Linked DNA regions of Caenorhabditis elegans. The protein of the gene in region 1 purifies or fractionates together with the protein of each later gene. This does not show direct contact. Each region holds a gene or a part of one and is shown on either strand. Other genes may lie near its edges.

Region 1 (4,073 bases):
AATTATGAAAAATCGAGAAATTTTTGGAGTGTTTTACTATGATATTTCGTCGTTTTGGATCATTATAAGTGCATTTAGACAAAATCTCCACTGGCGCCACTCCACCTTTAAAAATGTTTTTTTTCATTTCGCATAATGTACATTGTGCTATCTTCCAATTTTTCAAGATTACCTTCAGGTTTGGAAGATTCAATAGTCTAACTGTGTTTCTCAGAAAATAAATATTGGAACAACCTATAGAGGTTAGATTAACAAGTCCCAAGTTTATCATATTGTGGTTGTCGCCCCACATAAACTGTGGCTGGAAAAAAATTTTGGTAATACATCGAGAAAAATCCAGTACCTCTATTATATCAACAGGCGGTTTAAGTCGACTTTTCGTGCTACACTCCACCGATTCCAGTGAAGCTAGGAACGTGCCACTTTTGAAGTCTGTCGACATTACTGCCAAGCTTCCAATTAAATGTTTCATATTTTGAAATGCATGGGATAGCTGATATTCGGACAAATTGGATCTTTCATCAATTAGGATATCTGCGCAAACAGTGCTGCAATTTGTTGGAAATAGATCCAGATTATAACTAGCGAGAGAAGATTCCGGAAAAATGCAATGCGGCTCTAAAAGATGTTTGTTTTAAGTTGGATTTATCTACACACTTATTTCAATTTCAATTATTCAGAACTCACCACAATTCTCCTCCAAAAATTTCATATAATGGTTCATTCCACCAAATACATCTAATTTATTGGAGTCCGAAACGAGTGATAACTTTAGAAAAATTAGTGAAATCAGTATTTTCATTTCAAAACTAGAAGCGAGCAAAGGAAATTTGAAAACGAAAGATGTATGAGCCAGAGGGAAACAGGTGAAAAAGTAATTTTATGGCATTTTGTGATTAGCTGAACAAAAAATAATAATTTCGATTTTGTGAGAACTTTATGGAAACGAAATTAGAAATTTTTCTAGTTTTAAGGACAGCTGTAAAAATTTTCATGTAGTTAGGGACCAATCAGCGCTGCGCAAAGGGCGTGGCCAATTTTTTTTAATTGGTCGGAGGTGTTTTAAAGGTGGACTACACTTGTTGGGGAAATTGCTTTAAAACATGATTATGGGATAACAATGACCGAATATCTTGATTAAAAAATTCAAAAAATTTGTCTAGTTTTTTAAAAATGATTTTTGGGAAATTGGAAAAATCTCAGTGATCCCCTAATTCCAATTCGAATTATCGCCAATTGAATTCGTTCGATGGAGCGCGCTTGCATTATTTTCATTCATTTTTTCTCATTATCTCTCTGATTTTCTTCACTTTTCGGGATTTTTTAATTGGAAAATGAAAGAAATGACAGAAAAAGTGAAACAATGAGAATGAATAAAATGAATCACGGTGGTTCAGTTGCTAGTTGGGTGCAAACGCGCTCCACCGAACAAACTTGCATAACTTGGCCAGGAAGTACAAAATCGAAAATTCATCACAAATAAAGATAGATAATTTCATTGCGGTCATTTCTTATATGCATAGCAAAACCGATTTTGTGATGGTTTTCGAGATAGTAGCCAATATAGGTTTCCAGACTGAGTATCATGAACCAATCCATCTAGTTTCTGTGCTACCATGGAATAAATAAAAATATTGCAAGCGCGCTCCATCGAACAAATTCAATTGGCGGTAATCCAAATAGGAATTAAGGGAAAACTGAGATTTTCCCAATTTTCAAAAAATCATATAAAATCTAGAAAAATGTTTTGAATTTTTTTATCATAATATTCGGTCATTGTGACCCCATAGGCGTGTTTTTAAGCAATTTCCCCACAGAGTGTAGCCCACCTTTTATCATTGCAGACGTTTTTTTCCATGAGTTTTTTTTGCAAAATATCAAAGTATCAAAAAATCAAAGTGGGTCAAAAATCAAATCAAAAATTATTTTTTAAAGTTTTTCTTTATAATCAAGTACTCACTTATCTGCTACAAAAAGCACACCATCTAGTCTGAAAAATCATCAATTTTCCTTAATAGTTTGTGCTCCGAAGGGTGTAACCCAACAAATCAACCTTACAAACTCCGCTTATCACACCTGACAGGCTGATAATATTTTTACATAAATAGATCAATGACTAGGAGAATGTGTATCTGGAAACAAGCTGGAAATCATGTTTCGTTTAGTGGTAGCTCTTTCGATTCTACAATTAGTCGCTGGGCAATGTGCCCATTATGAGGACAAGTTGATTGGAGATCTGTAAGTTTTTCTTAAGTTACATTTTGGAAAAAAAAAAGATTTAATTCTTAAATTTTCAAATTTTCAGATGTTACTCATTTTACACTGAAACCCGGAATTTCGACGGAGCCGAACGAGCTTGCTCGGGGAACAACCAAAATTTGGCAGTACTTCACAATACTCTACAAACTAACTTCTTAGCATGTGAGTTTTGAGGACACAAGTAGGCATAGGTAGGGCTGGAATAGCTCGGTCGGTAGTGGTGGGGACTGGAAGCCTAGATGTCAAGAGTTCAAGTCCTTCAATACACAACTGTATGATTGACCACAGTCCCCGGCCCAAACGTGGCCTGAACCAAAAGCCCAGTGTGAATACCGTACCTGGCTCCTAGATTCACATAGCGCTTGAGGAACTTAGCCTTTTATATTCTTTCCAAATACTTTAATTCCTTTTACAGCAATCGTTCGTAGCCAAACTGGCGCAACAAAGTTTTGGATCGGTTTAAGCCGTGCAACTCCGAGCTCTAGATTCCAATGGGACGACGGAACCACAATGTATTGGAGCAACTTCAATATGAATCATGCGAAGGATAACAATTATGTTGCCGAACATACGACTGACGGAAAATGGCAGACAATTGGCAAGCACCACGAGCTTCCTTTTGTATGCAGTTATGATCCGAAAAACTTTACTCGTGAGTAGAAGGTTTTTTCTGAAATAAGACAATCAGAGAGTTTTAGCAATTCCATCTGGTTCCGGGTCCACACCTGATTTCACAAATGGCCCAGCTTCGGGAGCCACTGACGAGCCGATCTCCGACGCTACCGGAGCCTATTCCACTGACTTGCCATTTTCTGATTCCCCAACTGGAGCTTCCGATCTACCATTCTTTGGATCTTCGGGAGCTACTGATTTCCCAGTCTCGGGTGGTCCATCTGATTCACCAATTTATCCAGCTTCGGGAGCCACTGACGAGCCGATCTCCGACGCTACCGGAGTCGCAAGTTCCGATGGACCATTGGCCTACTCCACCGACTTGCCATTCTCCGATTCTCCAACTGGAGCTTCCGATATGCCATTTTTTGGAACTTCTGACTACCCAGTCTCGGGTGGTCCATTTGGCACCCCAGATTTCCCAGTTTCGGACGGCCCATCTGGATCATCTGATTATCCAGTCTCCGCAGGTTTCTAATGATTTTACTGAATAAAGTTTCAAGCATTAATCACTCGTTTGTACAAGCTCAATGGACTCGAATTTTGTCGGCTGCACATTTTTTAACATGGAAACAAAACTGCTAGAAGTTCAGTCTAATTTCCTGATTAGAAATAGTGAAAAATCAGTAATGATGAAAGTTTTTAGACGTAACTCTTATCTAAATTGCGTGATAAGGAGGTTATCCAAATTGATGTTTGCATGACGGGAAACTACTGATTCGTCACTTTTCAGATTACAAAAAAAATCAAAAGTTGGGAAATGAAATAAAATTTAAATCAATGATCACTTTGTGAACATGATAAAGAGGCCAGAAATGTTTCCAGATTTTTTTTCAGAGCGTGAATCGAAGGTTGAAACTAGGCGAAAAGGTTTTTTTTTTTTTGACAATAAAAGTTTAAAAAATTAACATTTCACTGTTGGTTCTTGTTTTTTCGTATATCCCGCCGCATCGGACCTTGCCAAAAATGGGAATCCTGCGTTGCAGGCAACAATGAGTCCGCTGATAACCAGGAAAAATGTTTTCCACTGAAATTCTAGTGGTTTTTAAAGATTTTCAAACAGAGGCTAATTACCTGTTCGTTAGTATAATTCGGGCAGATTATGCTGACTAAAGTTGGGGACAGGAATTGTGAGGCGTAGG
Region 2 (4,609 bases), on another chromosome or scaffold:
AAGACTGTCTAGATCGATATCTATTGGACATGCCACTCTTCTCTTCTTCTTATTTTTTATTTATTTCTGTTTCTTTGTTCTGATTGTTGATTTTGATAAGACACCTACGAGAATTGATACCGATCATTTTGTTGTTTGGTGTTGTTTCTACCAGGCAGTGAATTTTCAGTTTTGAAGGTTGAGTTGGTAGGCACTTTTTTCAACTTTTTTTCCTTGGCTTCAAAAAATATACTTATTACGCTCTTATTTTAAAGGTGTATATATCACGGAAAGAGAAACAGTCACGAGCATTTTATTTATTTATTTATTTACTTCAATACGAGCATTCAACTAGATTCTTTCAATTTGTTCTATTTCTTTACACTTTTATAACAAAAGGCATGTAAAAAATTTAAATTTGAATCACCGCGATGACAAATTCCTTTTTTTTACTTTTTTTTACTTAATTTTGCTTATTTATTTTTGCTTATTTTTGGACTTCTCAATTGTTGATTCAAATTTCATAGCCAATTTTTTTAAATTGAATTTCCTTGTTGGGCCAGTAAGATCAACTTAATGCAAAACCCAAATAAATGATACTAAAAATATTTATTTCTTCAAACTTTGAAACAATTTGCACTCTTTATGAACCAAAAGTCAAGAATGTGGCAAACATTTGCGAGTGGAAGGCAGAGAATTCGATAAGAAGAAAACAAAAATGAGTTCTAGATCTGAACTGTTAGTTTTCACATCATTATTGTTTTTTAAACTTTTCAGATATAGTTTAATTGGAAAACTTATCATAAAATGTAAAAGTTTTCCAATTAAATTTAAAAACAATATATTCCAGTTGTTTTTTCCAAAAGCCGGAACATTTTCGGAACAAATTATTCCAATCGGATTATTTTCTATTTCATTTTCTTTTTTTTTTCTCCGAAACGTGAACTTTATGAAATCCCAATTCCACAACCCAAAGTACATATTTAACCTCCAACAAACAACACAATTCTGTTCCCTCTTTTTCACCCGTTTGCACTTTATTTCTTTTCACTCACCTCGAGTCACGTGATCTCCTTCTAAGAACTGAATTTCAAAAACACAAAATGTTGTTTTCATCCGTTTCTATTTCAGCCCTTTATGTTTTTATTGAACGGTGAAAAGATCGGATCATTTTTACACTGGCTACAATTTTATTTTTTCTCATTTGTTCGTGTATGTCATATACCTGCCTGCCTGCGTGCCTTCTTAGCCCCTCGATTCTACATTCTAACATAAAATGAGCTGGGTGGTGTACACACATGATAAATTTACGTTTATCTCCCTTTATCATTTAAATTGTTTTGTTAAAAGTTCAATTAAGAAATGGCAGGTATTTTTGTGCGTATTTGGAATAGTCATAAAGCATTTAACCAAACTTCTTTCCTGAAAATATTGTTCATTGTATATTTTCATATCTTTTATCCAAAACAACTAAATGCTCAAAAATCGCACATCTGGTTATCACGTGCGGTTAGGAAAAATAGAAATCAAATATTTAGAGTACCCAAGTTTTTTTCCAAACAAAATCTATTTTTATCGTGGTCATTTGCAAACAATTCTACACTTTGTTCACTAGACTTGAGACCAACTGTTTTTTTTCTGTTTTTTGTCCGCTGATGCTCCAATTGCTCTACCACGTGTCTGTGCTCCTATCAACTCATTGGTACCTCCCTTGATGTTTACACAAATATCTTTTCTTTCTTCTCAACTCTATCATTATTGTCTGGCCAACGTGATTCGGCTGTTTTTTTTTTTCGTGCCTAATTATTTTAAAAAAAACTTTTCTACAAAATAAGAATTTTCAGAAATCTTAAAAGCGTCCCGAAGTAGTTCAAGTTGTTTTAGTACTGGAGCTCATTAAGGTTTAGAAAAATCATAAGCTTCTGTTTTTTTTTCGCTTTTTTGTCGAAAAATTTTAAAATAATTGCTGAATTTTCATGAATTTTGCAGACTTCAAGTTTCAAAATGCCGAACCGAAAAGTGGTCAAATTCTTCTTCGATGTCATTTCTCCGTACAGTTACTTTGGATTCGAAGGAATCACTCGTCATCGTTCCGTTTGGAAGACTCCAATTCAGATGAAACCATTCTTTTTTGCTGGTGTTGTCAGACATACTGGTGAGTTTTTGTATTTTTGTCTTGAAATTTCTCTAATATCCGTAAAAAAATGGAATTAGCTTTTTTAAAGTAAGGTTTTTAAACCATGACCCTCTAACAATTCCGTTTGAAATGTCAAAATAAAAGCTTTCAATTTACTTCTGGAAAAGGACATGCAAAACCTTAAGAAGCCTGTATGTTATTATTTTCTAAAAAATGCACCTCTATCTATTTATATCATAAGGTCGGCTACTTCTACTTCTTAAAATCTGCTTTAATCTGACGAAGGGCACTAGAATAGATAAATACACTTAAATAGTTCAACAATAGTTCAACATTATAATAGTTGAACATGACATATATTAACATAATAAGACAATCCAAAAATTTCAGGATTTTTCAAAATGATCAGTGAACGTTTTGATAAGTTGCCAAATGTCCCTAAAAGGACTATTTGAAAGCAATTTCGAGACATTTGGAAAAGTGATATTTGGTAATTTTATAAGTATAGGAGCATTGATAAATAACATAATTGTTTTGAAAATTTTTTTCGAATCGTGCTAATCATCAGAAAGTTGTTTGATATGTACCTTCTAAATCATATAACTGCAAGTTTTCAGAAAACCCCGGTCTCCCACTCCGTATTCCTATCAAAGAAAAGTACATGCACAAAGATTTGCTCTTCTCTGCCCAATATTGGGGAATTCCGTTCCGTCTTCCCAAGGACTACACAAATATGATGTTGAACACAAGTTCAATCGTTCCACAACGTATTCTTGTCGCTTCACAACTCCGTGATAATGTTTTGATGGAAGACGTTGCTCGTGGACTCTGGCATCGATTTTATGCATACGGAAAACCAATTTTCACAAAAAGTCAAGTTGCCGAAGTTTTGAGAGATTTGCATGTAAAAGATGTCGATGAGTTGGTGATGATGAGTGATTCGGCAGAAGTTAAGAACATTTTAAGAGAAAACACAGATGAAGCCATCGGGAATGGAGTAGGTCATTTATTATAGGAACCCAGAAAAACACGGAATCGACGAGAAAACACGCTCCACAACCAATTTAAAACGGTCCGCCCCCTAACGATGGGTCTCGTTAGGTATTTTCCGTTAAACTTGAACGTTTTTGATTAGGCTCGACAATTTTCTAGAATTAGTCTTTCTGTTATATTTTTCGAAGTGTTTAATGATTTCAACATCGAAATGATGTCTAAGAAAATTATGTGAATTTAGGGCGTTTTCACTTATCATAATAATTTTATTTCATCTATTTCAACCGAAAAAACATCAAAAACTACGAAAAATATAACAAAATAGACGACGAACGCAAAATTCCTAACGAGACCCATGGTTTAGGGGCGGAGCATTTTCAGTTGGCCCCGGAGCGCGCTTGCGCGTCGTTTTAAAATGTTTTTTTGCTGTTTTATAATATTCTCAATTGGGAATTAAAATTAATTTTTTTCAGTGTTTCGGAGCTCCGTGGATGCATATCACTGATGGTCACGGAAAAGTACTTCAAACAGTTTTCGGATCGGATCGCCTTCCACAGGTGGCCGATTTTCTTGCCGAGCCATTCAAGGGTCCAATGAGAGAGAAGAAGCCGAACGCATAAATTGTCAGATTAGCATTCTAAAAAGTGTCTAGAATTTTATCTGAGAAAGAATAACGATTAAAATTAATTCTTTCTTTTGTGTTGGCAAGAGAAATACAGAAAACGATGGAAAAAATGTGGAAACAAAAAGACTACTAATCTATTTCACACGAGTTTCAATTTGTTGCGGCAATTACAGAAAAAAAACGGAGCAAAAAAGAAAGAGCATAAGCTAACGAAAACTTGGGGTTGGTTGGGGGGACGAAGGGTGAGAGATCTGAGTATGTGTTAGTTTTGCGTGGCCTCTGATGATTAGCCGAATATAAATAAGGGAAAGCGTAAAGGTTTGATAAAAAGTAAAAGAGAAATTTCAAGAAACGAAAAATAATATTACCGGTACAGAGAGTGTAGATAGTTAGAGAGTGACAGACATCCGGGACCCAATGGGGCGGGGCGCGCGGAAGAGACGATTTGTGTCGATTTACGAAATTTTCCTCGTTGTCATTATTTCGTAAATCGACACAAATCGTCTCTTCCGCGCGCCCCGCCCCATTAGGTCCCGGATGTCTGTCACTCTCTAACTATCTACACTCTCTGTACCGGTAATAGAGAACAAATAACAATCTGATATTTTCTAATCAGCTTTTTGAACTTTTCTTCGTGCGGCGGCGGACCTCGTTGTGATGGATGGCTCAGCGATGTTAGCATTGATATCTTCTTTTGGCTCCAGAATTTCGAAATCAACAGGCTGAAAAACGAATTATTTTTTTCCAAAGATTTTTTAAAAATATGCTCATAAGTCAGAATTTTCCAAGTTTCCCAGCAAGGGTAACGGGTTTTCCATTTTTTACTGAAATCTAACAATCGAAATGTTTTTTCGATTTTTCTGATATTTCGAAAA

The links.
Region 2: the proteins of clec-209 (region 1) and gstk-2 fractionate together in Caenorhabditis elegans (co-fractionation; one large-scale study listed by BioGRID). This does not show direct contact.

The regions. Positions count from the first base shown.
Region 1 is NC_003283.11:2,349,524-2,353,596, forward strand, and holds clec-209 (C-type lectin domain-containing protein), read left to right. Parts: upstream 1-2,152; coding exon 2,153-2,238; intron 2,239-2,305; coding exon 2,306-2,421; intron 2,422-2,674; coding exon 2,675-2,911; intron 2,912-2,957; coding exon 2,958-3,409; downstream 3,410-4,073. Other genes in the region: irld-53 (Receptor L-domain domain-containing protein), read right to left, coding at 173-301, 344-618, 688-802; Y19D10A.8 (Major facilitator superfamily (MFS) profile domain-containing protein), read right to left, coding at 3,836-3,958, 4,006-4,073.
Region 2 is NC_003282.8:7,239,630-7,244,238, reverse strand, and holds gstk-2 (Glutathione s-transferase kappa 2), read left to right. Parts: upstream 1-1,968; 5' UTR 1,969-1,983; coding exon 1,984-2,134; intron 2,135-2,733; coding exon 2,734-3,113; intron 3,114-3,582; coding exon 3,583-3,729; 3' UTR 3,730-3,794; downstream 3,795-4,609. Other genes in the region: elo-3 (Putative fatty acid elongase 3), read right to left, coding at 4,343-4,456. UniProt on the Caenorhabditis elegans protein: Has roles in respiratory and lipid metabolism.